Notamacropus eugenii: one gene and its partners. The protein of the gene in region 4 interacts with the protein of the main gene of each other region in a pairwise test. Links are inferred from orthologs where the notes say so. Each region holds a gene or a part of one and is shown on either strand. Other genes may lie near its edges.

Region 1 (7,808 bases), on a different chromosome or scaffold from region 4:
TTTACATCATCTTATGAACATTAGCTAAATTTCACCCCTTTCCTAGAGAACTAAGGTGGCATGGACCAGTGATAGACAGCCCTTGGATCAAAGGAGATGGAGATGAGTCAGGCCGGAGCCCCACATGACATTCAGGGCTGTGTGACAGAATGATAAATGGCACACGGCCTGGTTAACCTCTGAATTTTCAGTCTCCTCCTAAGTCAAATAGGGATAAAATGCACACTATTACTTCACAGGAATCCACAGAGGATCACAAGTCACAGTATGTAAAGTGATTGTAAAGCAATATTTAAATATCTAGAGGCACCACAGAGTGGCAGTCTTGGAGGCAGAGAGTTGGATTCAAATCTACTTCTGATGCACACAGGCTAGATAGCCATGGGCAAATTTTTCAATGCCCCATGTAACGTTTTTAAAGCTGTGAGTCACCCCAAAGTGGTCAATCTGCACCAGTGGGTGGAGTTTCCAAAAGGGGAGTTCCACACACAAATAAAATCATAGGTCAGTCAATAAACACTTATAAAATGCCCACTATGTGCCAAGCTTGCATTGTGCTAAGAGCTGGGGATACAAAGAAAGGCAGAAGTCATTCCTTGCCCTAGAGAAGCTCGGAACATGCCAATAACTGCACAAACAAGATAAATCTAGGACAAACTGAAGGTAAGCAACAAAGGGAAGGCACTGGCATCAAGGGGAGACTTTCTGAGGGTGGGATTTTAGCTGGAAAGGAGTTAGGAGGAGGAGATGAGGAAGGAGGGCAGTCCAGCCCTCCCCTTCCATGAGAATGCCCAGAGCCAAGAGATGGATTGTTCATGGAAGCGCCACGAAGAGACAGTCATTGGATTAAAGGGCCCACGTCAAGGTGTAAGGTGTAAAATGACTAGAAAGGTTGGAGAGGATCAGGTTATAAAGGACTGGTTTTATATTTGATCGTGAAGGTGAGAGGAGTCACAGAAGTTTATCATGTAGGGCAGTGACATGGTCAGACCTGAGTTTTAGGAAGATCACAGGTGAGTGGAGCAGGGATTCATGTGGGGAGATTTGAAAAAGTGAGACCAACCAGATAGATGAGATGTGAGGTGTGATGAGGGCTGTACCAGGGTGGGGGCAAGTAGTAGAGGAGACAAGGGGGAAGTATATAATACTGACAGCACTTGGCAATAGACTGGATATAGGAAATGAAAGTAAAGAGTCAAGGATGACACCTCAGATTTGAGTCAGGGTGACTAAAAAGATGGTTTCACCTTTGAGTTAGGATGAGCGAAAGGCTGGGGGGGGGGGAGGGAGATAGAGTTCTTCGCTGGACCAAAAACATGCTCACACAAATGTCACCCGGATCTACAAAACAAAGCTAGGTAGTTTTTGGTCTCATTAAAAAAAAAAAAGAACCTGTAACTTTCATTTGCCAATCATTTCTCTTTTTTTTTCATTTAATTTATATATATTTTTAGTTACATGTAGCAAAATATTTTTACATTGATTTTTTAAAATTTTGAGTTCCAAATTCTTGCCCTTCCCCTTCCTTGAGAAGGCAAGCAGTTTAATATAGATTATACATGTGCAGTCATATAAAACATTTCCATATTGCTAACTATTTTTTAAATGAAAAGAAAATTTTTCAAAAATAGTTTTTCTGATAGAAGAAATCTTAAGGTATTTTACACAAAAAGGTTACTTAAGGTTTGTAGTGTGATTTATTTCTGAGGCTCTGTTGCAATATCAATTGTCTCCACCTTTTACTAGCGTAATCCCTCTGGAATAAATTTAGCCACATCTGGAAATATTCTACTACAAAACTTGAGAAATGCTAATTACTTTCCTAAAATTCTCTGAAAAAGTGAAAAAAATTAAATAAGTTTTTATTCTTAATCCAAAATCTCCAAAGCTTCATGACCTTTTAAAAGAAAATCAACACCCTTGAACAAATATATGCAGACAATGCCTCAATTTTGGCATTTAAAAACTTAAAAACAAACAAACAAAACCTCTGTGATTCCACGGAAATGAAGAATATAGTTAAAGTCTCCACGATCAGGCCTTGGATTTTGCCTAGCCAGTTGGCATTTCACCAGCAGTAACATACCAGAGATGTTAGATAAGTAAAAGGTTGATCTGAGGCCTGTTTCTAGGGACAAAAATGTTTTGTGGTTCTGGATGTACTAAGTCATTTTTTTCCAGTGACAATACAATAGTTCTATATTTTGAATAATAGGAAAAGGCATCTGCAAAAAGAAGGTCAAAGAGGATGAAAACTTTAGGCCAAATGAAAGTGGCACAGAATTGTCTTCAACGAGACATTTCATTCCCATACTCTAGGAAATGATGAACAATGACCTTGAAAAAAAAAACCCACCTCATTGTTAGTTTGGTTTTATACTTGTATTTGGAAACAGCAACATGAAGGTAAATTTGAACACTGAAAAAGATTGACTTATGTGGACAAAAAGAAAAGTCAGGTTCAAAGAGAGAACTTAACTTTTTAACTATGTGTAGGTTTAATATTTATGAAAATCAAAGAACTTTCATTAAAACCCATAATCCTGGTCTTTGAATTACACTAGATAGTAATATCAGCTCAAGGAGGAAGCAAAACAGCTTTATAGTCAATGAAACAAGTTGTGGTTCAAATGCTGAATGCATTTCCCCTACAAAGGATGGTTCTAAATCAATCTGTTAACCAGGTGTAAAACACCCCTGGTTTTAGAAATGTTTCCTGGCCATACATGGACAACGTCTAATAATCCAGTTTCTCCTTTCTGCCATTCAGGGACCTAACAAATGTATTATTAAACAAATATTCCTCCCAAAGACCAACAGTTTCTAGCGATGGATAGTAGAGGTTTGGGGGAAAAATAAATGTTAGATGTCACACCTTGACAAGGGGCACAAACAGTTAATTGGGGAGAAGATGACAACCAAACAAGCCAAAGATTTCTTCCCCCACACCCCCAGCCCTCTTCCCTCCAACAGGATTTAAGCTTCACGGTGATACTTACATACTGTGTCTGACTCAAACGTTTGGTTTCAATAATGTGCCCAGTCTTGTCAGTAAAAACCTCCTCTTTACAACATCCCTGCTGTGTCTCCTTCCCCCAGGTGAAGGTCCTCATCACCTGCAGCCAGGCCCACAGCAACAGCACTCTAACCAATCTCTGTGCCTCATCTCTGCCCACTCCAGTCTAGCCTTCCACCAATCACAGGTCAGGCCTCATCTCCGGCCATGAACTCTGGCGGTTCCTGGCTCCTCAATCCTCTCTAAGCACTTGACAATCCAGCTACAGGAGCCTTGCTGCAATTCTTCATATGCTCCATCTCCCAACTCAGAGCCTTTGCACGGGCTGTGCCCCAGCTTGGAATGCTTCCTTCAGGACTGGCTCAAAACCCACTTGAAGCAGGAGGCCTTTTCCAGTCTTTGGTGTTACCTTTATCTACTCTGCATCGACTCCAGGATAAACCCAGATGCTTGGTTGGTTGTTGTCCTTCGTTCTCAAAGAGGACAAAAATGACATCACTATGATTAAGTCAAATTTCAGTGTGTCCTACTGCAGTTGATCAAACCAATACGAGCTCAGAATTACTACATATTAGGCACAGACAGTCCATGTCATTTGGGGTGAATACCACAAATTTGGGCATCTTACATTTCCTTTGTGCTGTCTAAACTCTGTTTTGCTCATAGAGCACAGCACCCTTTCTGATGTGGGCCCACCATGCTGAGCCGTCCTGTGCCAGTCTTTGGCATTATGTTTATCTACTCTGCATTGACTCTAGGATAAACCTAGATATTTACATATCGTCTCCAGCATTAGAAAGTGAGCCCCTAGAGGGCAGGATGGTCTTTAGCCTCTCTTGGTATCCCCCTGGGCCTCAGTAGAATAGCAGAATCTATAAGGAATTTAAGAAATGCCAGGGGCTGCGATCTGATTTTAGGTTGAATTGAACTTACACACACTCCAAGTTTTTAAAAAATCTAACGACAAAAAAAACTATAAAAGAATCACATTAACTTTGGTTTGTTAGGGGAGGGAGCTAAAGAAAAATCTTAAGAAGAGTCTACCAACAACAGTGATTCAGACCTTGCGTCCCAAACAGCTTGTGGCTCTCTGCCCTCCCTGTTGCTTCATGCTGTGGGCCCCAAGCCAGACCCAAAGAGACCTCTATCTCATCAGTAATGATACCCCCTCAGCTACTGACAAACCAAGCCAAACTCTGGCCAGCTTGGCAGTTTAGTGACAGATAAATATGGAAACCCTAACCCTAGAAGATCAATAAGGACTCTTCCCACTGCATCCACATCCTATGGTCCTGAGGCTTTCCTCTATTTGGAAGCTCACAGCCAGATTCTCTTTCTGAGAATGCCCTGGGCCTCCACTGCCTTTGCCAATAATAATCTGGAAAGAATACTGGATTGGGGCTCAGCATCCTAGCTCTGCAACTGGAACTACAGGTGTGACCCTAAGCAAGTCACTTCACCTCTCAGTTCTCCCAGCGTGTAAAAGCAAAATGTGAATTAGACAACACCCAATATCCTGGGAAGGCAGCTGGCCACACAGTGCATGGAACTCTGGACCTGGAGTCAGCAAGAACTAAATCCAAATCTGGTCTTGGTAGTTTACTAGCTGTGTGATGCTGGGAAGTTACTTCACCTCTCTCTACTTCAGTTTTCCCACCTGTAAAATGGAGATATAACAGCACAATGCGCCCAAGGTGTTTGTGAGCATGCAGCATCTGGATCGCAGTACATTCATCTAGACGTGCTCCCCCTCCCCCTACCTTCCAGCCAGAAAGTTATACTCCCTGTTGTAACCCTCAGGCACAGGATGACACTCAACCCAGTTCACATTTGCATAGGGCTTGCAAAATTTTGAGAGTTGCTTCAAAGGTAGGTGGATTTCCCAGGTTCAGGCCAGAGATTTTGTGGCTGTAGGGAATACAATAGGAGAAAATTCCATCCCCCAAGGCAGATTAGCTACCGTAGACAGTTCTCAGGGGGCACAGGGCGCTTTAGTGACTAGCCCAGAAAACAGACATTATCTGAAGAAACTGAAGTGGAAATCTTTCTCAAGCTGAGGGCCCTAGCCTCTACTATCCCTTCTCAGTGCACATAATATCAGTGTTTTACAGAGCAGGAACATGAATGGTGAAATGATTGAGGTGAGGCTCACGAATCTAGGAGCCTTAGAAGGTCATTGAGGTCCAAACCCATACATTTTCAGATGACAGTGATATGCCAAAACCAGCTCAGTTGTGCAGTGGATAAAACACTGGGCCTGGAGTCAGGAGGACCTGAGTTCAAATTCAGTCTCACACATTTACCACAGGGCAAGTCACTTGGCCCTGTTTGCCTCAGTTTCCTCATCTGTAAAATGAGCTGGAGAAGGAAGTAGCAAAGCACTCCAGTATCTTTGCCAGGAAAACTCCAAGTGGGGTCAAGAAGAGACTAATGACTAAAGAAAAACAAAGTAGTGGCAGAGGCAGGATTTAACCCATTTGACTCCAAAACCAGAAATCTTTCCAGTGATTTGCAACTAAGCAGTGTCTGGGTCTGGACCTGAGATCCTGTCATACTCCATCCAAATAAACTCAGGCCACTCAGGCACTGAACTTGGGAATCAAGAGGAGCCAGGTGGTTGCTCCGTAGAAAGAGAGGACTACCTGCCTGGGAATCGAGAGGACGAGAGTCCAAGGATCCTGGCCAAACTACAGTACTTATCTCTCTCTGGCCCTCTTTATCTCAAATATGACACCAAGAAATAGAAGCCTCTCCAGGGAATGCAAACATATATAGGCCTCTCTTCCCCGAGACACGCCCACCTCCCCCTCCCCCAAGACTTTTCCCTTACTTTGTAAATGCTTAAAAGTGGATTCATTGTTTCCACAGAGGAAAAGAAGCTCTGTAAGTGCAGAGAGGTTTCCATTTTTTGTCTTTGTATCACCAGTCAGGCCCAAAGTATCAACCATCCCAGAAGTCTTTAATCTCCCAAGGCCCCAGACAACTCTCTAAATTACAGGAGAGGGAAGATACTATGTGTATAGACATATATGTGTATGCAAATATCCAAAACACAGTAACATACAAAACAGACAAGGTGATTTTGGAGGAGGAGGCTGGAGGAGTAAGGAAAAGTCAAGACAGAACTGGCGGCCCTGGAGCAAAGTCTTAAAGGAAGAGAGTTTCTAAGAGGTGAGGAGGGAGGGCATTTTGGATGTGGAGGGTGGTCAAGGCAAAGGCACAGATGAGAAGTGGAGTAATGAGAAGGGGAGATAGTACTTAACCTGCCTGGATCTGTGTCCTTACCTACCAAATTGGGAAAGGGGGGGGAGGGGAGGATGATTAAACTTTACCCTTTCACTAGATGAGTCCCTTTGAGCTCTACATCTAAGATCCTAAGAGGGACAGAGCAGGAACCATGGAACAGGTGAAAAGGACTTCTATGTAATATGCCTGGAAAACTAGCTATGTTGGGAAGGGTTTTTAATTGCCAGAAGTTTATATTTGTTGGGTAAGCTAGTTTTCATCTCCATGAGTCTCAGTTTCCTCATCTATAAAATGAGAGGGGTGGGCTACATGGAGTCAGACCCCTTCCAGTCTTACATCTACAATCCTAAAGATGAGGTTCAGACTCTGGGAACTTCCTTGAACTCCCCCTGAATCTTCCCACTTAATCTGGCCTTTCATACTCAAATCTGTTGCCCTAGGCCTAGCCTGGCCTTCCATTGTCGGTTACCTCTCGATAGCCCCACCTACATCCCATCCAGAATTGGCTTCCAGCTGTTTCCCACCCTGGATCACAACATTAGTTACCCCAATCCCATCAAGATCCTCCTTAGACCCTCCTAGGAGACCCCTAGACCCCCTCTAGATCTTTCCCACGGACTTTCTGTATATAAATTCCATCTCGCCTCCATGAAGGCACTCAGATTCCATCCAGCTCAGACTTCGTCTAGCTGAGATTCTATCCGGCCCCCTGGTGAGTGCAAGCGTTACAAATGCTTAGGCTCCTTAAGAGGCAACCCAAGGTGGCGAATCTTTAATAAACTTTGGTTTTAAGAAGTCTGGAGTCGAACTCATTCTAGCAGGACCTGGGGGTGTGAGTACTTTCGGGCACAACACCCCAACCTTATCAGTAGGATCCTATTTATATTACCTTGACCTTGCCAAGTCCCTTCCCCTCCCCCGCCTCAGTTTCCTCATCTGTAAATGAAGGGATTATTAGACTAGGCGATCTCTACGGCCCCTTCCTGCGCTACTCCCACGATCCTATGTTAGCCTCAGTTTCCCGACCTGTAAAATGAAGGGGCTGCGCGGTGATAAGGGGGTTAGCCGCCTCAGAGGAGGCAGCAGCCACGAGGGATGCTCCCCGCCGCCAGGAAATCCCCAGGAGCGGAGAAAGGCAGAGGGAAGCCTAGACGGGGGACCCCGGGGCGGGGGTCCTGACGCCCCGCCCCACACCTGCCGCACACCTGGAGCGCCGGGCCGGCTTCCCCCTCCTGCCCCCAGGGGCCCCTCCCCCACCCCTCCCCCCGCGACCCCTCCCCCACCCCTCCTCCCGCCGCCCCTCCCCCGCGGCCCCTCCCCCTCACCTTGCCGTTCTTGGGGCTGCCGTTCAGGAACAGGGTGACCCGCCTCATCGCGCTGCCCGCGCCGGGTCCCGAGGGAGCCGCCACCCCCCCGCCTTCCCCCTCCCCCCCGCCACCCACCCGGGACTCAGAGGCAGCCCTCAGCCTGACCCGCCTCCCTGGGGGGGGGTCCTTCCGCCCCAGACCCCAACACACACACACACACCCCCGAGAGCCGTCCCCTC
Region 2 (6,842 bases), on a different chromosome or scaffold from region 4:
AGAGGCAACACATGAGCTGTGTTGTACAGGAAGACAAGGACTCTAAGAGAAAGAGGTATGAAGATGTGGGGGAACCACTTGTGCAAATACAGAGGTAGAAAGAACAAGCTAACAGGTCAATTTGAATGGAATAGTGGACATACAAGGAGAACAATATGAAAAGAGATTGAATAATCAAAGACCAAGATAGGATACAGACTTGCTATATAATCATACAAGGCCTTCCTTGCCCTTACTAGGCATTTAATGAACATTAGAAAAAACTGAGAGTGTAGTCCTTTATTCCTCTGGGGCCTCTGCTCATTTCCATGTAGGGAAAGGTCCTGGTCCCTTGGTCAAGTGGCCAAACCAGGTCCTGTTAGCCTCATCTTGTGCCTGTATCTCTAGCTCTTCATACATACTCTTTACTCACCAACTTCCATGGTGGAGTGGGGGTGGGGTAAGAAGCCATCTGGGCAAAGACTATTAACAATGAACAAAGGCTTCTGGTTCTTGGTTTAAAAAAAAAATTCTCCCCCCACAACACAGACAGCAGGCTCAGAGATGAAAATCATAAGGAAAACTTTATTCACACATAAAACTGCAATATATTGACTACATGTATACATTAAGGTTCATGTCCCTAGTTAGGGTTTTTGGCCACTCATCCCCACAATTACTGGCTTTGTCTGGCCACCTGCTTTGAAGGAAGCATGGGGCCTGGGAATAAATATCCTGAAGGCTGATCCAGGACAGCAGTGACAACTCTCAGGCAAAATTGCCTCTCGTCCTCTCTCTGTTTTCCTCTTCCCCATGATTCCTTCTGCCTGGAAGGCAATGAAACGTGCAGAGCATTACTAACCCCTACCCCAAGTGGCTGGGCTGTTGTAATTACCCCTTTTCTTTAGGACATGTTAGATGAAACACCCAGAGAACAGTGAATACCCATGAGGTACTGGGGAGCTAAGTTGTTCTCACATGCCTGAAATAGCAAGAGAAGGGAAATGCTGCAGCTATGAAAAACAAAGATACTTTATTAACAGATTCCCTCTCAAGGAAGACACCTGCAGACCTACAAAAGGGAGTGTAAGGCAAGCCCCAGGCTTTAGCCCATGGTCCCAGTTCAGCTGTCCTTGCCCATAGTATTCTTCTGGTCCTGGGCTGCGGCCTTGCTTAGATTCCCTGCTTCTCGCTTCAAGACGTTGAGTAGCGTCTGAGAACTTTCCAGAATCTGTGACCAGAAAAAAATGAAACAGTTTAAGCTTGCACATCTTGGAAAGATGCAGCTTTTTGGGTACTAAGGGGCCCTCTCTCTCCATCACTACTTACCTTTTATTGTACTCTCTACATATTGTATATATGCTCCTTCATCTTCAAATAAGTCAAGGATCTGGACTGTGCCATTTTTATATTTGTAAGACCATAGTTTGAGTTGTGAGGGACCTAAGAGATCATCTAGTCCAACTCCCTCATTTTACATTTAAGGAAACTGAGGCCCAGGGAAATTAAGGGACTTGTTCAATGTAGCAAGTAGTAGAAGTAGAACATTGAACTACACCCTCCACCTTCAAATGCAATTCTCTTTCCATCACACCTGGTGTCTCCTGGTACCTCTAGTTCAGCTTGCAGCCTCAAGGCCACATATGGTGCTCTAGGTCCTCAAGTGCGGCCCTCTGAACTGAATCCCAAACTCTAAGGGGATTTGTTCTGTAAAGTTTGGAGTCAGAGGGCCATACTTGAGGACCTAGAGAGATGAAGGTTTCCCACTCCTGCTCGTGTCTAGCATAGCACCTAGTACACAGTGTTGGCTTGGGGGGGGGTGGGGCAGCACAAGAAGGATAAAGGTGCGGACTTCATTTGGGGTGGGGAATGTCTGGCAGCTCTACCCTTAAAAAATTGAAAATTCAGATCTCTGGTGGGCACTCTCGATGGACTTGTTGACGTTGGGGTCCAGTGCTCTCATTTTAACGATAAGGCCCCTGAACCTGGGGGAGGTTAAGCGAGTTGCCCAGGGTCCCACAACCAGTTAAATGTCTGAGGTAGGCTTGGACTCCATGACTTCAGGGCTGCAAATCCAGCCTTCTGTCTGCTCTCTGGAACAAACCACCCTGCGTTCGCAAGGCTACACCTCCCCTCTGCCGACCCCGAGGTGTTTAGCACCAACACATGGATTTGGAGCACCGCCTCATCTCGGGGAGGGGTGCCCAGTGAGCTTGGGGTCTCCACGGGTTAAGTACCCTCCTGAGCGGCGGGAATGGGGGCTGGGGGGGGGGGGCAGGGTCCGGCTCCGGCGCGCCGGCCCACCTGCCCCCGGGGGGAGGCCCACCTTGAGGTAAGCGGCCTCGGTCTCGGCAATGGTGCGGTCAAACTCGTTCCGGGAGGCGATCTTCCGGGCCAGGTTCTCGTTGACCCGTGCCAGCTTCTCCGTCAGCTGCCGCACTTCGCCCTGGAGCCGCTGCTTCTCATCCTCCTCCTGCTGGATCTGCCGGCACAGCTCCTCCCGCTTCTGGCACAGCTCCTCGATGCCTGGGGGAGGCGAGAGAGGCTGGTGGGGGCCCGGGCGGGGAGCGGGGGCGGGGTTCGGGGCCGCACAGGGGGGGAGGGGCGGGGGGTGGCTCGGGGGGCCGGGATGGCTCGGGGTCGGGGTTCCGCCGCCGCCTGCGGCCCTCACACTTGACCAGCTCGTTGTTGTAGTTCTGAAGCGCCGCTCCCTGCTGGCTCATCCTCCCCGCGCTCCCGCCACCGGCAGCCTCCTACTCCAGCTCCAACCGCCTCTACCGCATCACTGCGCCTGCTCGGATACCGCTCTCCCGCCCTCCTTTGCGCGCCAATGGGCCCGTGAGCTCATCAGGTCGCGCCGCGTCGGCTCAGGGGAGTCATTGCGTGACGTCTGACGTCACCACGACGCGCGCCAGGGCTGACATCCGAGCCGCTGCGGCTGCGGGAGCCGGAGCGGGGTCTGGGCCTGTCAGCGCAAATGGCGACGGTGGCGGCCATGGTAGAGGGTGCAGCCTGCGGGGCCCCGGGGGCGGAGCTGTCAGTGGCCTGGAGTACCGTGAGCACCGGGCTGGTGCCGCCCGCCGCCCTGGGGCTGGTGAGGGCCACACTCCGGCGGGCGGGCTCGTCCCTCCCGGCGCATCTCCGCCTCCTCTCGGCCGCATCCTTGCCCTCGGCCCCTTCTCTTCCTTCAGCCCCGCCCCCGCCCCGCTCAGCCCCCTGTCCTCATGCCCATCTCCCTCTCCGCTCCTCCTGCCCCTCATCCCCACTCAGCCCCACGCCTCCTCTCAGACCCCAACTGGTCTCTCAGGCTCCAGCTCTTATTTTTCGTCCGCTCTCCTCCTGTCCTGACTCTTCTCCCTCCTCTGGCTGACCTTTAGAGCTGCTTTCCTCCTTGTTTTAGAGATGCTCTGTTTCTGACCCCTCTTGGTCCACTTCTTACGAGTTCTGTGCTCTTTAGGCAGCTTCCAGGCCACCCGGAGCAGTGAGTTTGAAAGAAGAGGAGCTTCAGGCTGCTGTGGAGGTGCTGAAGTGCTATGAGCTGCACTCGATCCTGGAGGAGTGGTTCACCGAGGTGCTTCAGACTGACCTGCAGTCCAACATCGCCCCCGAGTTTTGGAATGCCATTGCTCAATATGAGAACACCGCGGAAGAGCCCCAGTGCGTCCTGCTCCTCCTGGAAGCCTTTGGCTTGCTCAAGTGTCGACTGGACCCCTACCTCAACAGCTTGGATTTACTGGAGAAGTGGACGCAGATGGGCTTGTTGCTGGGGACTGGCTCTCAGGGTCTGCGGGAAAAAGTCTATACTATGTTTAGAGCCATCTTGTTCTTCTCCACCACGAAAACCTTTCAGGAGATGATCCAGCAGTTCTATGCGCGTACCTTTAAAATCTACATGCATCAGCAGAAGAAAAAGAAAGTGGATGAAGGAATGAGCGAAAGTGGCATGAGTGAGCCAGAGTTGGACCAAGGTGACTTGGAAGACAGTGGGTCTCCAGAGGGCCAGGAGTGTGCCGGCTGCAACAGTGCTAAGGAGCTGTGCTGGTGCTCAGTGGCTCTGGAACAATTCCAGCAGCTTAGTGAGATACTGTAAGTGACTGCTACTTGTAACTTTTGTGGCGTTGGGCATATCTCTCTGCTTCTTTTGGTTTCGGGGATCTCCTCTGTAAAATAAAGGAATCAGATTTAATTATCTCTCAGGTTCCATCTAGCTCCATATCTTATTAACCTATAAAAAAGTGTCCCCTAGCCTAGTCACTTTCCCTGGGATCAGGCAGGGTTTAACAAAGCTGTAGTAGAGGAAACCTTTTAATTCTGGGTAGTGGAAGAGGATCTTAGGACATCTAAATAACCTATTTCCCTCACTCCTAATTGCAGGGAATGTCAGAGTGTGTGAGGTGCTATATCATTAGCAGAAAATAGTGTTTATTTGTTGGAATAATGAATTCACACCTTTAGGCATTGATTATCATGTTTTCATCTCTTCACCCATTCCTAGACTTTAGTTATACTCAGTGGAGAGTAAGTCAGAAAAGAGATTTGTCTTGTGTTCCCCATCATTGCATAGCTTCCAGGTGAATGATTCATGACTGCTTATTAACAGCACTGTAGATATAATACATATTATGGTTAGGGGTTGGACTAGATGACCCTTGAGGTTCCCTGTTTTGTATTCTGGAGCAGATTAGCTCATGGCTTTTTTTTTATGTCCAAAATTACTAGCATTCTCTAGAAGTACTTAAGGACCATCAAAGAGTTTGAGGGAAAGAATTTTGCTTTTCAGCAATATGTTAAGAGATGTTTTGCTAAAATGACTAAGATTTCTGGTTTGACGTTTGGGGTTCCCATTGATTTTCATGGATTAGATTTTATTTTGATGTAATCCAAATGGTTATCCCAGTTCTTTTGTACTGGAATTTTGTATATTCAAAAATTCTTTAAATAAATGTGCCCCAGAGTAAACTTTGAAGTTTTTTGGTTTACAGATTTTTACTATAGTGATACTAGTTATGCCCAAAATGAGTCTTTAAGTATGGTTCTCTGAGGGACCCCCTTTTGAACCACACAAGGTAGGAAGGGCAGGATACACACACACACAAAGTATGTGGTTAATTGTTTTTAAGGATGCATTTGTCATTACAGTTTAGATCTACATTAAAAATCACAAAAGTTAATCATTTTTAAGTTACCACAGTAGTGTCCATTTACCCAGGCAGAATTTTTACAAATTTTTTCAGTGGCAAAAAAGAGCAAGTGGGATAGTTGTCTTATCCAGAAGTACCTTTGCATCCATTGGAGCCATGTTTACTTGTCTGTTGGCTGATCTGTGTGGACACCTGCTGGTCAGACCTGTGCTACTTCACCAGTTAGAGCTAAGAAATTTTGTAATCTTGGCAGATTTTCCAATCCTTTATTGCCCTTGAGGGCAAGTCCCTCAGCAGAAGTAGATCACCTCTTCTGTGCCTCTATCTCTACTTTTAGCAACTCCTGACCTACTATTTGCCTAGGAACTCCCACTGTAGTGGTCTTCTTGGACTTTGCCCCTAGGATCTTCCATTCAACAAAATTTGAGCTCTTTTTCAATTAATGCTCTCAGAGTTCCATTCTTTGGGGGTACTGAGGAACTATGGGAACTTTGTTTCCCAGATTCAACTTTTCCAGATTCAACATTTATTTTAACAGTGAGCTTTCTATAAATAATGTGATATACACTTAAGTGGTGTATCTAATGGTATGAATTTTTTATTGGAGGATGAAGGTGGCTTAAATATTTTGGGATGGGGAGAAAACTCTTACAGCATAGAGGGGCTAGCGACTTAATCTTTCTGGATTTAGGTTCAGGTCCTGTTTGAGGACCATAACTCCTTATTTGTGGTTTCATACTTTGTACCTTCTGAATCGCCTTCCCTCTCATCCCTTGCTTCAGCTAATTCTTCACATGGCTTGGGATAAGATTTTTGAACACTGGCTTCCCTTCAGGCACAGGCTAAATTTGCTGGAGAGAGTCAGTGCTGATGCTGTTACAACTATCCTCCACCGAATGATTGAGGAAAGGATGGAACGTCGATGTCGGGGAGAATATGAAAGGTCTTTCCTGAATGAATTTCAGGAGGTAAGCTCTCTTTGTGACTTTGCATTCTTGATTCTTGCTTAAGGGAGTACAATTTTAACAAGTAGAAGAGAGTTAGTTAAAAAATGAACCAGAATCTAAATTTAGAGTGGTACAATACACAGATAACCTTTTTTATTTACACTGTAGTTGAACAGGTTTATGTGGGTTTTTGTTGTTGTACCTTTATGGTTCTTGCCCAGGCTTGCATTATTAGCTGTGGTCTAGGTTTCATATAGGCTCTTGTGAGTGTAGTGTTGTTAATCGTTCAGTAACTTAAACATTTATAAATGTTGAACTAGGCACCCTGTTAAGTGCTGAGGATACAAAGAATGCAAAAACATAATTTCTACCATCAAGGAGCTCACATGCAAACAATTATGCATATGCAGTGTACATAAGTAGTGTAAATGGGAAGTAATTTCAAAGGGAAGATGTTAGGAGTCAGAAGAAGATTGGATGTGAACTGAATCCTCAAGAAGGCCACAAGGCAGAGGAAGAGGGAGAACTTTGCAGGCATGAGGGACAGCCAATAAAATGAATGGGGTTGGTATACAGAGTGTTATGTTTGAGGAACAGCTAGGAGGCCAATATTAATGTACCATAGAATATGAGGAAGAGAGTAAATAGTAGTAAGACTGGAGAGGTAGGAAGGTACCAGGATATAAATGGCCTTAATGGCCAAAGAGAGGATTTTCTAAGGTTACAAGGAGTCACTGGGAGTGTATTGAGTGGGAGATGTGGAAGTGACATGGTC
Region 3 (8,155 bases), on a different chromosome or scaffold from region 4:
CAACTTGAATAAATAATACTGAAGACCAGTAACGACTACCTTCACAGAATTTCCAGACAGACTTAAAATGCCATTCTACTAAAGTCCCTGCTTCTGGCATTTAGAAACACAAGACAAGAATAAATTTCCAACATCTGCACATACCTTCAAAATTACCTCTGTACTCAGTTTCTCAGTTATAGAACCATGTGGGAGTTTAAAAGTAGAATACTTTTTATAGCAACTAGTTCAGAGAAATCTAAAGAGTCCTTCAGGTTAACATACAAGCTAGCACAGGCAGCCACTGCATCTTGGGGTGGGGGGGAATGTTTTTATATTTATAACAATAGGAACTGGCTTGTGATTTCATTGGTATAAGGAACTCCCAGGTGTGGACACTCCCTCCCCTCATGAAGTTCAGTCCCTTCTCTGTACCTTAGTGTCAGAGAGCTATCGTGGCACAAGGCTAGGTGAAGGGACATCCACGTGGCAGTGACAGCTCTCGAGCCAAAGTCCTTCTGGCTGTGAGACCTGCTGACCATCCACTCACTACTATGCTGCCCCACAGAAAGCATGCTTCAAAGCTTACAAACATGACCTTGGGATCTTGGCCATAGCCTCGAAAGGCAGGCAGGTACACTGGTAGCATCACCTGCATTTTTACTGAGGCTCCAAGAGTTGAGGTGACCCTGAGTCACACCCTAGAGCTATGGGACATGGGTCTGGAGTCCTTGCAGTCTCTCCTGGTTCCAAGCCACAGGGGAGCTGTTAGACAGTACTGTGAAGATGGCACTATTCTTAAAATCTTTTTTCTTTAGCCATTCATCACCACAGTGCAGTCTAGCAGAACAGGCTAGTTCCAGCATCACTAACTTGATGGGTGAGAGGAAATTAATTCCCAGCACTGAGGCACCTCTATTTCTCTGATGATAAAATAGGAATACAACCTTTCCTCCCCGCTGCACATGGATATTAGGGGAATACATTTTGGAAACAGGATGATTTCCTTCCTTTTCAGTTCTGTATATGAAAATGATGATTAAATGGTTGGGGGGAGGGGAGTGAGTAAGAAGTTTGTTTCTGTTTTTAAGTACCATATCATCTTTATCATCTTTCCATGTAGTACATAACTTCACTACATGAAATTTCTGTAATACGCTGAAGGCCTGAGTTAAGAGAGGGACCACAGAGCTCTCTAGCTAACAGACCAGGAGTAAGGGACTGCAGCGCTGCCTCTGTTTTCCCCATCCGGGCTCTTCTAAGGGGCTGCAAGGTCCCCCAGAGGGACCTCCAGATGGTAGCCTCATCAGAATTGGGGGGGCCCCACTAGCCCAAAGTATATACTGTTCAGGAAGACTGCTATGGCAAAAGTGGTTCCACAAAAGAAGTCCGAAGCCAAGCAAACCCTAAGTGTGAAAAATCCAGATAAAAGAAGATGATGACTGTCCTCCCCAGATTCCTTTAAATTGCAAGTTCTTGTACAATTACAATGTGATTATATTTACACAAAACTTCGCAGAAGCAGTACCTAGTACTGGTTGGTGCCCAATCGTGGATGCCTTGGTCTTACTGCATAATACAAATACCTGTATGGATTATTAGCTAGCCCAAGAACAATTTTCTCAGCTATGCTAAAAGGAACAAGGCCTTCTCCCCAAATAAAAGGCTGCTTTCCTTTAGCTATACACTCATTCATTCATTCATTCATTTAAAACACCCAGCCTTTACTTCTTGATAACCTACTGCTCACTGGGTTTTTTTTCTATTTTGGGCATTTGTGATAGAAAATTAGTATCTCTGAAAAAGGGAAGATCAATAAGGGCAGCCATGAGGCACTTAATTAATGTTTCATGACACCATGAAGCCTCGCTGGCAATAGGCGGTCCAAGCCTACTTGCTGCATTAGTGACTACACAAAATGCTGGACAGAGTTCTCATCCCCACCCTTAATCCAGCTCAGGGCTGCCTAGCTTGTCACCCCAATCTTAAGGAGAATGCAGTCTTTTAAACCACTCAGAACTTCTCTCAAGGCTCTCACCGAGGTGCCAACAGAGATCAGCACCCAGGAGGGTGGGTCTCTTCATCCTGCGAGACTCTGGGTCCAGGGGCACCACAGATCCTCCACCAGGATCTAGCACCCCCCTGAAGGCCCTCCCCTGGGCCCCTGCCTTTTGTGGGCACCGGTGCTGCCCTGGGGCCACCCTGGGGGGGCCCCACTCTCACCATACAAAGTTCTACACCCCCAAGATCATGGACATCCTACATAAAGGGCAGCTGGCACCGATGCCAGCCACAACGACTGTCCTGCCATGGCCCGGGGGCCAGCGGGGCTCGGACCCGGGCTGCCGGCCTCCCTCGGGGCCCCGCTCCTCGTGTCCGTGCCCAGCTCCCTGCCTCATTTTCCATCCTCTGGTACCCAGAATGTTAAAGAAGACGCGCAAGTGCTGGATAAAAGGCCGGCGGCCGGCCGGCCGGACGTCTGCACGTCTGGTCAGGATGCACAGCGTCCTGAGGGAGAGATCCGGACCGGCCACGGCCCGGGGAGCCTCGGGGCCTCGGACCGGACCGGCTGCGGCACCGGCCGCCGGGTCCCACGGCCCGGCCCGCCCAGGCCGGGATGGGGGGGACCCGCCCCGCATCCCGCCCCGCATCCCGCCCCGCATCCCGCCCCCCCCGCCGGCCGACCCCCGCCTGCTCCGGGGCGCTCCCCCCCGGGGGTCTCCTGCCCCCGCTCCTCCACAAGCCCCCTCCTCTGGGGAGCTCGCCTGCCGGGGAATCTCCTTCCCCCCCCGCCCCTCGACGTGCCCCCCCGGGGTCTCCTGCCCCCCGCTCCTGCCGGGGTCTCCCCGGCACGTCCCTGCACGCCTCCAGGGGAGGGGGCGCATCCTCGTGGCCCCCCGCTGAGGGGCCCCTCCCCTGAGCCCAGACCCCCTCCAACTTTCCTGGGGGGAGGGCAGGGGTCCTCCGAGGCCCCCCTGCTTGCCCAGGTCGTAGGAGGGGGGTCCCCAGCCCCCTGCCGCACTCACCGCCGCAGTCGAGGCCAGGCCGGGCCGGGGCGGGAGGGAGGCGGGCCGGGCCGGGCCGGGCCGGGGACACAGCGCCGCCGCTCCCGCTCCCGCCGCTCCCGCCGCTCCCGCTGCTCCCGCCGCCGCCGCCGCCGCCGCCGCCTCCAGCCGAGCGAGCTGCCGCCGAGCGAGCGCGGGCGCGGGGTTCGCGGGGGCGCGCGGGCGCGGCACGGGCAGGGCGGGCGCGCTCCCGCGGGGGCGGCGAGGCTCAGCCGGGCCTGACGGGAGCGCGCGGGCGAGAGCGAGCGGGAGGGCGGGGAGGAGCGGCGGCCGCCTGCGCTCGGCTGCCCCCTGGCGGATCCTGGCGGCGCCGCAGCCCTCCCCGCCGCCGCCGCTCCCCTCCTCCAGCACCAGACCCAGGAGCCGGGAGCCAGCCCGGCTGGGAGACAGCGGTGGGGGCGGGGCCTGGAACTGGCCGTGGGAGCTCCCTGTGTGTGTGTGTACATGTGTGTGTGTGTGTGTACATGTGTGTGTACATGTGTGTACTGTGCACGCGTGTGTGTGTGCAGGGGGTGCGGGTGTGTGTGCAGGGGGTGCGGGTGTGTGTGCAGGGGGTGCGCGTGCGGGTGTGTGTGCAGGGGGTGCGGGTGTGTGTGCAGGGGGTGCGCGTGCGGGTGTGTGTGCAGGGGGTGCGCGTGTGAACGGGGGTATCCGGGTAGGCTCATCCCCGTGCTGCAGCAGCCCCCCTCCGCCTCCTGCCCCCGCACTGCCCAGCGCACGCACCCCCACTCACGCCGCAGGCTCCCCGCACCCCGCGTTCCTGGCCCTTCTCCCCAAGCCCCAGGCGGGCGGGGGCCGCGCTGCCCAGTGGTCAGGATCGCAGCTCTCGCCAACGGGCTGCGATGGAGCCTCGGGCGGCACCCGCTAGTGCAGGGCTCAGCCGAGTGGGAGAAGACCACCGACCCCGAGTCCCAGCCTGCCCGCCCTCCGTAGGACCTTGGCGGAGTCACTGCCGCGCTCCAAAGAGCGCTCGGGACTGGGCAGCCTGTAATCTAGGGCTCTATACCGTCGGGGGAACCTCTCTATCCCCACCCACCGACCCCTGCCAGAGGGTGCCCTCCAGCCCGGCATAGAGCCTCAGCCCCAGGGGAGCCTCAGCCCCTGCTTGACGGGTTGACCTGGGGTTACACCTTAGAGGTTTAGCCCGAGCCCAGATGTGACAGCTGAGCAGACTGCCAAGAGGAGGCCCCAGGAAGCCCCTGCCTCCCGCGGGGGCGGGGGGGGGGGGGGTTCCCGGGCTCCCAACAGCAGCACTTATAATGGCATTTCAGCTGCATTAATAGGTAGAGTATGTAGAAGGCTGAACCAGGTCTGCAAGACCTGAGATCAAATCCTGCCTCGGACAACAGCTGGCTTTGTGACCCTGGGCTGGCAGCTCACGAAACTTTGCTTGACTCAGTTTCCTTATCTGTAAAATGGGGCTAATAAGAGCACCTACCTCCCAGGGTAGTGGTGAGGACCTTATGAGATAACGTCTGTCAAGTGCTTCGGTAAGCTGGTCGCGCTGAACTAATGTAATTGGTTATGATTCTGGGCAAGGCCGGCCCAGAAGCTCTTTTTTCTCAGAAGATGCCCGCAGTACCAAATGCTCCCACCTCCTCACTGGCAGACGGCTAGATCTTCTCTAATAAATACCCAGAATATGGGGGAGAAGCTGTGCCCGGGCCTCCTCTCTTGGTCAGAAATGCTTAAAATATTCTGTAACACTCATTTCAGTTCAACAATCTCATGCCCCCAGACTTAACCCTCTCAGCTCTGAAATTCCCACCATCAAAGTTTACTTCATGGAGTGAAGAAATAAGGAGAAATGATTCATTGGATAGAAGCCAGTATATTCATGCACCAGGCTATGTCCAGGCGGACCCCAGAAAGGTTTCCAGTCCACCCCACCAACCCTTGCTGCCCTGCCTCCACCCACCTCCCAGCTCTGAAAATCTACCCATTTGTCCTCACTCCTGAAAAGGACCCATCAGTCTCTTCCCCCTAGACTCCCATCCTCATCCCTGTGCCTTCCCAAAGTCCACCCTGGTTTCCCCTCCTCCTGTGGCTTCCTCCCTCCCTATTGGAAGAGCAGGCCCCCTGCTATTTGTACCCTCAGCCCTGAGCAAAGGCTTAGCGGGTCCTGCTAAGAGATAAGGAAGGGACTCGTGATGTTACTGATGGAGAATGGCTCCCACTACCATGGCAGGTTGAGGTAAGTCGACAAGCATGTGTAAGTCACCTACTATGTGCCAGGCACTGTGCTAAGTATTGGGCATACAAAGAAAGGGCAAAAGATAGTCCTCCAAGAGCTCACAGTCTTAATGGGGGAAGAAACCTGTAAATAAATGTGCACAAACTATGTGTATGTGTATACATACATACAAAAACACATGCACACAGATGTATAGGTGTTGAGTAAATAAGCAGTTACTGGGGAAATCCAGAATCTTTTCCTTTTTCCTATTTCAAAGTCCAGACTTTCAAAGAGACCTCTGACCTTGCCCCAAAAATTATACCTCTAGACCATCTTCTTTAGGTGGAAATGTTGCCCCACCCAACTAGAAAACCTTACAAAGAAAGTGGAATCTGGGTGAAATCCAGATTATTGTGTTCCTCCGGCAGGTCTGTGTGATCAGTCATGTCCCCCAGCCCCTCATTAGAATAGGTCCACCTCTCATTATCATGTTCATTATTGTTAACCAATCAGAGTTGATTGCTGCCTGCCAGGAACACCCATTCTTCCAAAGGCATATAAGTGTCCAGAAGCCACCAGAGGTCTTTGGCATTCAAGAGTGCCACTCACCCCTTTTATTAATTATCTACTAGCAATAATTAATAAAATGAGCAATTACCCAGAAACTATGTCTTTAGAATTTTTTATATATCACAGTATGTATTCATGCACACAAATATCCATAGGTGTGCATGCATGCACACAAATATACACTTGTATACATATGTACACAAGTATGTGCATGCACACAAATATAGACTTGTGTGTATTCATGCAAGTATATATACATGCATAATTATATGCATTGCAAATAGCCATTTGTGCATATACATGCCTACACGTATACATGCATTCATGGGTACATATGCATAAGAGCACATTGGTGACATTCACTGCATGGATGTCAATGGAGCATGCTGGCTGCCTATGAGCTCTCCCTCATGGGTAACCAACCCAGCCATTGTAAATGTCACCAATTTCACCGATGACGTCCTTTACAGAAGACTCTCCTTCCTGATTATACTATCCAGCCATGCTCACTGCCACCATGGACCTTTTTATCACCCTGTGGGTGAACTTTGCCTACATTTCTCCAGAGACTGTAATCGTTTCTTTTGGCCTAGAAAGCACAGTGAAAAAAATCAGAGAAAACAACTTGGTCTCCCGGGCAGAAGAAAGAAGCTTCCTACTAATTCAAGACAGAGAAGAACAGGTTATTCAGGGAGAGACTGAGCCCTCCCTCCCTGCAGATCTACAAGCAAAGGCTGGCAGATTACTTGGAAGCTATGTTGAGGTCATTCTCTTTCAAGCACAACGAGACTATGTGGCCCCTTGGGTCCTTCCTGACCCTGACACTCTGAGGTCCACAGGACATCCCTTCAAGCACCCGAGGTCAATAATCATGTGAGCGCTATTTCTGCTCCTCTCCAGACTAAACATTCCCAGTTTTTCCAATGTATTCTCATGTGATAAGGACTCGAGACCCATCACAGTCCTAATTTGGACACCCTTTGGTGTCAGTTTCATTAGAATCCTTCCTAAACTGTGGTGTCCAGAAATGAACACAATATTCCCAATGGTGTCTGACCAGGGCAGAGAACAGTGATTTCCTTATTCCTGGAAGCAATGACATAGATCCAAGGTTGTTAGAGTGTGGTGCGGTGACCCCTAACCCTTTCAGGAGGCCAGAGATTCTACTTCTGGAGGAGTCAGAAGGATGTGTAGTGCAAGGGCCATGTAGAGACTTGAACATGCTTAGTCACTCTGTGACTGGTTCTGGTCTGCTAACCACATGATTAGGAAGAATCTTTCCAATTGGCCTCATAGCTAGGACTAAGGAAATCTTCAAAAAGGCCTGAGTCAGCTTTGGTCCAAGCTCTTCACCTCATCCCCTTTAGTTGAACTCCTTGGATCATGATGAGAGACAGGTTCTGCTATAAGCAGAGGAGAGACCTTGGGTCTTTTAGTCAAAGTCACATGGTTCTGAGAACAGGCTTCAGTCCTTGGCTTATGCATTTGGTCCGTTCCTTCTCAGGTGAAGGGATTAGAGCCTGGAACCTTGTCGGCATCACATGATCTAGACTGGAGCATCTGAGCTTCCCACAATCTGAGTCTTGTAGCCAGCTCAGCATCCATACTCAGAGGAGTCAACTTGGGGAGTGACCTTCAGGACTGAGCCCCAAAACAGCTAAAATGCAGAATTTTCTGGCAGTCATGCCGTACTTGGACATGGAATGTTATGTAGAAACTGTGCTAAGATTAAGCCCCCTCTTCCCAGAGACCAAAGGGAATATGTATATATGTGTGTGTGCATATATGTATATAGCTACGTAAGTATATATAAAATTGTCCCCTGAGGTATTGGGAGGAAGTGTTTCTACTTTGTTTCTTTTGTGACTTTTGAACTCAATATCCCTTTGTAAAAGTTCATTGCTATCAAGTGAGAAAATGGAATTGAGACACCAGTGGGGGCTCAAGTTAATAACGTTAGGGAAGAGATACCTGTAAAATCTTTACAGTTACCCCTAGAGCCCTGAAGGAGTAATGTAACTGAATGGGTGAGCCCAGAGGACACACACACACACTTTATACAAGGCTTGCAAAGCACTTGGCCTGTGTCATCTCATTTAGTCCTCTCTACATCCCTGTGAGGCAGATGTTATTGTTGTCCTTATTTTACAAATGGGATTCACAAAGAGGTTAAGTGACTTGGCCATTGTCACAAAGCTAGTCAATGTCTGTGGCAGGATTTGAATCCGGTCTTCTTAACTTTCATTTCTGTGTTCATGGTTCTATCTGCTGTGTTCCCTGGACTCTTAATGAAGGGTTCGACCTGGCTGTATCTTGCCCATCCACATTTCATGGACTACAAGACAAGAAGGAACCTTTTATTCTC
Region 4 (7,685 bases):
ACAATAGAAATGCAATGATTCTCATAGACCTTGCATGGGAACAACTGCAATTCTGACCCGGCTGCTTCTTCAAAGTCCCATCCATCACCTTCCCCTCTTTTTTTTCAGCCAGATTAAAGGACTGTACCTACATTACTTTATCAATCTTTCAAACATCTCCAAGAAAAATGGTCTGGATGATTAAATAGGCAGGCTCCCTTTCTGCTCAACTCAAAGCACTTTTTCTTCCTTTCAAGGTCTTGCAAAAGCCAGGGTCAAACGGCATTCACAAAGAAGTTCCCTGCTTATCAAATAAAAGTAGACAAAACTGCACAGTAAGCTAACTCATCAAAGAAGGCCACATCTAATCAGCTTTCAGTTGGTTCCAGGGATTAGAACTCTAGTTCAATAAAGCCCCAAAGTCTTTGGGTTAAGCTGCTTTAGGAAAAGAATAATTTTCATTTCCCTGACCAGTGTCCACTTCAACTTCAGCAGTAAAGGAGGCTGGAAGAGAATCCTTCCTTTAGTATTTTCCCTAACGACCAAGCAGGAGATTACTTTCATAGGCCAAGTAAGATAAGGCTGGCTTCCAGGCTGGGGCTTCTCTTGAAAAAAGCCTGAAGAAAATGGTGTTTCAAAGTCATTCTGCCTCTTTGGGCCTCAGTTTCCCTATCTGCAAAGTGAGGGCATTAGATTAGATTACTTCTAAAATACGTCCCAGCTCTAAATATATAATATATGATAACGACTGGGAAAGGAAACTGAACGTAGTAGGAGGAATACAGGTTTGCAGTTGAAGGACTGGATCCCCTTGCCTGTAAAATTGAGGGAATTGTAGGAGAAAGATCTTGGGATGGTGAAGCTAGAGCAGGAAGGGAATTCTGAGGCCCTGGAGATCTCTTGGAGCTACAGGAGGGGTGGAGAGCAGTGGTTTTATAGATGAGACTCCTAGGAGAAAGAGGAATGCTTTGGTGCAGGTTGCTAAGGCACTGGATGCTGAGACGCAAGATGACCTCTAACCTATAGCTCTGACTGGAAAAAGAATGTCTCAGGCCCTTTTTGTTGGAGTTGGACTTCTATCTCAGGCCTTTGCACTGGTTGTACCCCATGCTAAGGGGCACCCTAGGTGGTGTAGTGCATAGAGCACCAGTGCAGGAGTCAGGAGGATCTGAATTCAAATGTCACCTCAGACACTTGATACTCAGTAGCTGCGTGATCTTGGGCAAGTCACTAAACCCCAATTGCCTCATCCTAGGTCATTTCCAGTCATCTTGATGAATATCTGGTCACTAGATTCAGATGGCTCTGGAGAAGTGAGGCTGGTGATCTGCACAGCCCTCCCTCACTCAAAACAAAGTCAAGGGCAAGTCATGTCATTATTTCTCTGATGGCATGGTCTTCTTCAGCAACAAAGGATGAGCACACACACCCCATGCTAAGCATGCCCTCCCTTCTCATCTCTCTGCCTCCTAGCTTCCTTCAAGTCTCACCTTCTGCAGGAGGCTTTTCCTGGCACCCTTATCACCCAGTGCCTTCCTTCTCAGATTACTTTCCATCTATTCTATATGTGGGCAGCTGGGTGGTATAGTAGATAAGAGTGCTGGGTTTGCAGTCAGGAAGATTCACTTCCTGAGTTCAAATCTGGTCTTAGACACTTGCTAGTTGTGTGACCTTAAGCAAGTCACTTAACCTTGTTTACCTCAGTGGCAAACTACTCCAGTATTTTTGTCAAGAAAATCCCAAATGGGGTCAAGAAGAGTTGGACATGACTTTAACTAATGAACAACTCTATACAAACCTTCCTTATAAAGTATCTAGTTCTTTTTCATGTTGTCTCCTCCATTAGACTGGGAGTTCCCTGAAGGCAGGGACTGTTTGTGCCTTTTCTTTGTAACCCTAGAGCTTATCACTGGCCTGTCACCTTGAAAAAGTAAATCAGTGCTCATTGATTGAATATTTGTGGCTGATGACATCTAAATCCCTTCTACTTCAATTTGGTGTCCAGAATCTCTTCCTTCCAGCTGAAAGTACATAATTCCTAAAACAAAAAAAACAAATGGCTTCAGACATAACATCTGAAATCACATTGTGGAAATGCAACTGGAGTCTGGACTGGACAAAGTCTAAGGATGCTCTGTAACCCTAATCTGACCACTCCCCTTCCAGGCTGGATTTAGACGACGTCTCTGGTGATGGGGCGTGGCAGAAGTAGAAGGTCATTGAAAAAATAAAAATACCAAGTCACTATAGCAAAGAATCATATCTTATAAAATTTTATGTCATGGTCCCCTTTGGGAGCCTAGAAAGGCCTATAGATCACCTCCCAGAATAAAGTGTTTTAATGCACAAGATAAACTATGCATCAAAATATATACTTTTTGAAGTTTACAGACTCCAGCTTAGAGGAGGTTCCACAAGTCCCCTCCAGTTCATATCATGCTAGTGAAATAGTGAGTAGAGATTTGGGGTTCAAGTCCTTCCTCTTCTCTTAATACCTAACCATTGGGAGCCTCAGCTTCCTCTCCTGAAAAATAAATTTGAACTCATGTCTTCTAAAATCCGTCTGAGTTCTAAATCGATGATCCTAGAAGCTCCTTGGTCAAGGGACAAACAGGTTTTCATCTTAGTACGCCCAGAGCCCGGACCCATAGTTAGTAGGCACTTGATAAACGCTTGTGGTGTGTTTGCTTAATGTCTAGCTGATTTCCAAGCACAGATCACACATCAGGAAAGGCTGGCAGGAACCCGGAGGATCTCCCGCGACAGTCCTGGGTTAGGCTTTCCAAATCCCTCCCAGCTCTAAGAGGGGCGGGAAGTGCTGTCTAAGATCCTTTAAGAACGTCCTGCAGGAATCTAGAACGCGGAGGGGCTGAGCCCTGAGCTCCCTCCCAGCTCTGCCAGTTCCCGATTTGCCAGTTCGGGGTTAGGGGCTCAGGGCTCTGCGGGCGAGCAGGCAGGCGGGCGGACAGTCGCGGCCGTAGCTGCAGCGTCGCGCCCCCTCCCTCTCACCTACCTAAAGGTGTTCAAAGGAGGGTTCCGGAAGCGGATCACAGCCAGAGAGTTGTCCAAAAGCGTGTAGTGGGCCATGGCTCCTCTCAGTCACTGGCCGGGCACTCGAGCTCAGACTTTAATGAAACCCAGAGAGGGGAGGACCCGCCCTTGGCCAATGGGGTTCCGTGGCCCGCCCCCACCCTCTCACTGGGGATCCTCTCCCTCCCCAGCCTCCAGAGCCTGCACCACCCCTAGATCCACCCCTGGGAAACCTAGCCCTCCCTTCAGGCACTGTCCTTTGCCTCCCTGTGTCCCCCCCTCCCCCCGCCAAGATCCCTACTATCCCCTCTTCCTCCGCCGCCCTCCTGCCCAGGACTTCGCCCTCTTTTCTCCTCAGCTGGGCTCCCAGGTCCCAAACAAGGCCTTCCAACCTTCCCTCTCCCGGGTGGAGTCTCCCTCCATCTCAGGACCTCTCCCCTTCCAAGCTCTCCTCTTTCCTGCCCTCCTTCCCTCCCACCCCGCCTTCTTTACACTGCCTGCCACAGAAACAGGAACCAGAGACAGTCCTGCCCTCACACAGTCAAGAGTCAGGGGGATAGGTTACTTTGGCTCACTTTTTTCTCCTCTTTCTTTTTCATTCTTTGCAACAATGGATGGTTTGCTGGGATGGGGATGGAGTGATACATTCAGAAGTGAAGGTGATATGAACACAGAAAGATAACAATAGGATTTGTGAAAAGGATATTATGTTACTCCCTTGCTCTAAAACAGAGGTGGGGAACCTGTAGCCTCGAGGCCACACGTGGCCATCTAGGTCTTCAAGTGCAGCCCTTTGACTCAATCCAAACTTCACAGTTAATAAAAGGATTTGTTCTGTAAAACTTGGACTCAGTCAAAAGGTGGCACCGAAGACTCTAGGCCTAGAGGTCAAAGGTTCCCCATCTCTGATCTAGAAGGTTCTGTGACTCCCTATTGTCTATGGCAAAATTCAAACTCCTTTGTTACACAACTGAAGTACGGAGATTTTTCCAGTCTCAGTCTCAGTCTTACAAAAGCAGGAGTCCAAAGCAGAGGTCCTGTTTTCAAGGATCATGAAAGGGAAACTGAGGCAGCCAATCTAAGTGGCAGTGTTTAGTTATCCAGATTTCATTTCCTTTATTTTGTCACATGCCTTCTTGTCCACTGTAAGCATGTGACATCCCGGAGGGGAAAGTGGATGAGGTGGGATCCCTTAGCTCTCTTTTTCCATGAAGCATCCTCACCCCAGGGCTTTAAACAGAGGTGGAGGATAATTCCGAAGAACTAAGAGGGCCTGGCCTAGGCACAGGTTATGCAGACAAATAGATGAGAGGCACAGACACAGAGATACAGAGGGGTGTTCAGCCAGAGAGAGGCTCACATATCCATGTCGCCTCTCCAAGACACCAGTGAGGGCTCAGGACTGGCATCCTAGGTACTTGTGGAAGGAGAGACAGAACCTTGACCAGAGAGAGAGGTGGGAGAGAAGATGGAGTTGTCCAGCCTCTCTGCTATCCCCCTCCCCCAAAAGAGACCCAGAGGTCGCAGTTTCTGCTTAGTCATCAAGGGGAGGAAGGATTGAGGGAGGAGGGAACCCCATCCATGAAGGAATAACTCTGTGGCACGAACCCTGTGGGCGTGGAAGTGTAACTCGAATAGGGTGACTAGACCTTTGTCCCAGATTTTCCTCTGGTACTTCTCACTGATGGAGTGATGGGACCTGGACCGCTAAAAGGAAATGACTATTTCTTTGAAAGCAGTCCTTGAATTTTCCCACACTTTTCCCAGTCCCTGGCATTTTGCTTGAGGCATCAGGCCCAGCCCAGTTCATCTAGATACTTAATAATCCTTTTAACTGCCCCTTTCACTGTGGCTTTCTGATCATTTAAATCCTTTCATTCTCTGCACCTGGCCAACCTCAAACTATTTACTGCTCCGTAATCCCATCTAGACTCCGTCTCTGTTGCCTCTAAGCCATCCTAGGCTATTTACCACTCATTAATCCCATCTAGATCTTCTCACTGTCTTATAAGTGTCAGTGTGTTATATATTAATATCTGTTTTATCACCATCAAACAGCAGATTCTTAGAATCTCGGAATTCCAAATAAACCTCCATACTTTTGACTGAAAGAAGGCTTGAGTGGTAGAATTCTTTCAAGGCAGACCCCATGCACCCTGCACTTCAGGGTTCCCAGCAACCCAAACCGCAACATCATCACCTTTCACCTAAATTTGCCCAAGGCATAGTTACTGCTCTTTAGGTTCGGAGGGAAAATCAAAGAGACCAGATAGATAGTTTGATGTCCAAAAATGGTACATGAGTTTTCATGATAGTTGAAGGACTTCAGTACTGAGAGAAATTATTAACAACCAATGACTGGGAAGATTCAGAGTTCCCCTTTTGTATAGTACTCATTTCAAAGTTCAGTCTTTTGATTGAACTCATTGTTGAAAATAGATCGAATTAACTCTCCTCAATTTTGATCAGACCAGCCCAACCTTACAAGGAATTTAATCTAAAGTGGGGAAGCCCATTGTATTCTACTCAGGTTTGGATGGGGATAAATTCTTTCATTAGAGTGCCCAAAGCTAGGGATAGTCTGGATCTCTCTTTGTCCAAAAGTGACATGATGTCACTCTCAGCCTCTCATTGGAGTGAGCCCACTTCTCATTTTAATATTCATTCTCTCATTAATTGCTAACCAGAGTTGACTGCCACACTCTAGAACACCCACTTTTCCAAGGGCACATAAGTCAGGAGCCTGCTCCCCATGAGGATCTTTGACATTCAAGAGTGACATTGACCTCTTTTATTAAAATGCTAGCGTTATTAGTAAAATGACCAATTACCCAGAAATTATGTCTCTTGAACTTTTTAAACATTAAACATAAATCTGTTCTACATTTTTGATTGATTTAAATAAAAGCAGTCCAATATTCTCGGTTTGGTAGCAGAAGAGCCTTATGTGGATCATCAGAGGAACAGGAACTGAATTCTGATGTTCTCAGAGGGAACAATGCATAGGGATTTTGTGAGCTAGAAATATTGAAATGCAACTGATCTTTCAAATATATATATACGTGTATGTTTGTGTGTCTTGTATGTCTGTGTGTGTACACACACGTATGTAAATATATATGTATGTGTGTTCAGTCATTTTTCCATCATGTCTGAGTCTTCATGATCCCATTTAGTGTTTTCTTGGCAAAGATACTAGAGTGGTTTGGCATTTCCTTCTCCAGCTCATTTTACAGATGAGAAAACTGAGGCAAACAGGGTCAAGTGATTTACTTAGGGTCATACAGCTAGTAAGTGTCTGAGACCAGATTTGAACTAAGGAAAATGAGTCTTCATGACTCTAGGCCCAGCACTCTATCCACTGCTCCACCTAATTGCCCCAGCATATGGTGCTTAATAAATGCTTGTTGAGTCTCACAACTATCAGACTGGTAAAGATGCCAAAAGTGGAAAAATCACAATGTTGGAAGGGCTGAGAGAATTCCAGCACACTGGTACACTGTTGGTGGAGTTACGATTTGGTCCAACCATTCAGAATGTGTGGCTTCAAAGTCACTGAACTATGCGTGCCCTTTTGTGATACTATTAACTGTTATTTAATTAGTTATTAATAATATGCCAATATTAGGCCTATGCTCCAATGAGAAGAAAGAGGAAGAGGACCCATACATACAAAAATATCTATAGCAACTCTTCTTATTATGGCAATAAGCTGGAAACTAAGGGAGTGTCCATCAATTGGCAAATAGCTGAAAAAATTATGGCAAATGAATCTAATGAAATATTATTTCATTCACTATTTTCTCTATTGTGTTGTCCTTTGTTCTCAAAGAGGACCATGAAATTAGGGAGGTGATGCCATGACATGCAAGTGAATTGGAATTAAGTGAGGGATGACTGTGCAAAGTCACCAGTCGCACTTTCTCCTCTGGAGCCACTGGGTCCAGCAGGCGAGATATAGATCAGGATGACTGGAGATGGCCCTCTATTGCACTGTAAGAAATGGCGAAAAGGATGGCTTCAGAGAAACCTATGAGGATTTGTATGAACTGATACAGAGTAAAGGGATCAGAACCTGGAGAATAATTTCTACTTACAACACAATCAAGACAACTAATTTTGAAAGACTTGTAACTGATCAATGCAGTGACTATCTGTAATTCCAGAGGGCAAGTGATAAAGTTATTGATTTCATGAAATTAAAAATTTGAAAAAAGTTATTTTAATTGTTGATTGAAGTTCATTGAGGTAAGCCATAAATTTATGGCTTAGTGTCAAAATTCCATTCTTGGCAACATGCTGAAAATGTGATTAAAGTTAGATGTGGAGACAGAAAAAAAATTGATGATTGATTAATTGATTAATGAAAGGAAACTTGGCCCCTCAAACACCAGACCAATTGATTCTCTTTATAAGATCTGGAAAACCACTGACTGTGAATTCAACTATCATGAGTCTGCAGATGAGCCGAAGTCAAAGGCTATGAGCAGATTTGATCTCTTCTCTAGACTGTTAACATATGGAGTCATTACATCACACACAGACCCTTCTGCTTTCTCCTGGCAAGAATATGGAAGTGCACTTTTTTCTATTGGTTTTTTCCATCTTCCTGACCTTCTAAATGTTGGTTTCTTTTTCTGTTTCTTCTTGGCTTTGCAAAAAACATTCCTATATTT

The links.
Region 1: the proteins of EHHADH (region 4) and KCTD9 interact in binary tests that used the Homo sapiens proteins (3 or more experiments, as listed by UniProt). The two-hybrid records come from large-scale screens. The link is inferred for Notamacropus eugenii from reciprocal best matches to the Homo sapiens genes EHHADH and KCTD9.
Region 2: the proteins of EHHADH (region 4) and SSNA1 interact in binary tests that used the Homo sapiens proteins (3 or more experiments, as listed by UniProt). The two-hybrid records come from large-scale screens. The link is inferred for Notamacropus eugenii from reciprocal best matches to the Homo sapiens genes EHHADH and SSNA1.
Region 3: the proteins of EHHADH (region 4) and KCTD6 interact in binary tests that used the Homo sapiens proteins (3 or more experiments, as listed by UniProt). The two-hybrid records come from large-scale screens. The link is inferred for Notamacropus eugenii from reciprocal best matches to the Homo sapiens genes EHHADH and KCTD6.

The regions. Positions count from the first base shown.
Region 1 is NC_092872.1:743,223,940-743,231,747, forward strand, and holds the start of KCTD9 (BTB/POZ domain-containing protein KCTD9), read right to left. Parts: upstream 3,187-7,808; 5' UTR 3,114-3,186; coding exon 3,000-3,113; intron 1-2,999. UniProt on the Homo sapiens protein: Substrate-specific adapter of a BCR (BTB-CUL3-RBX1) E3 ubiquitin-protein ligase complex, which mediates the ubiquitination of target proteins, leading to their degradation by the proteasome.
Region 2 is NC_092872.1:494,225,981-494,232,822, forward strand, and holds SSNA1 (microtubule nucleation factor SSNA1), read right to left. Parts: upstream 2,800-6,842; 5' UTR 2,703-2,799; coding exon 2,651-2,702; intron 2,506-2,650; coding exon 2,306-2,505; intron 1,211-2,305; coding exon 1,117-1,210; coding exon of another isoform or gene 1,103-1,116; exon of another isoform or gene 807-1,102; coding exon 748-806; 3' UTR 545-747; downstream 1-544. Other genes in the region: ANAPC2 (anaphase-promoting complex subunit 2), read left to right, coding at 2,957-3,073, 3,437-4,065, 5,956-6,088. UniProt on the Homo sapiens protein: Microtubule-binding protein which stabilizes dynamic microtubules by slowing growth and shrinkage at both plus and minus ends and serves as a sensor of microtubule damage, protecting microtubules from the microtubule-severing enzyme SPAST.
Region 3 is NC_092874.1:466,814,778-466,822,932, forward strand, and holds the start of KCTD6 (BTB/POZ domain-containing protein KCTD6), read right to left. Parts: upstream 3,121-8,155; 5' UTR 3,006-3,120; intron 1-3,005. UniProt on the Homo sapiens protein: Probable substrate-specific adapter of a BCR (BTB-CUL3-RBX1) E3 ubiquitin-protein ligase complex mediating the ubiquitination and subsequent proteasomal degradation of target proteins.
Region 4 is NC_092873.1:56,193,560-56,201,244, reverse strand, and holds the start of EHHADH (peroxisomal bifunctional enzyme), read right to left. Parts: upstream 3,140-7,685; 5' UTR 3,067-3,139; coding exon 2,993-3,066; intron 1-2,992. UniProt on the Homo sapiens protein: Peroxisomal trifunctional enzyme possessing 2-enoyl-CoA hydratase, 3-hydroxyacyl-CoA dehydrogenase, and delta 3, delta 2-enoyl-CoA isomerase activities. Catalyzes two of the four reactions of the long chain fatty acids peroxisomal beta-oxidation pathway.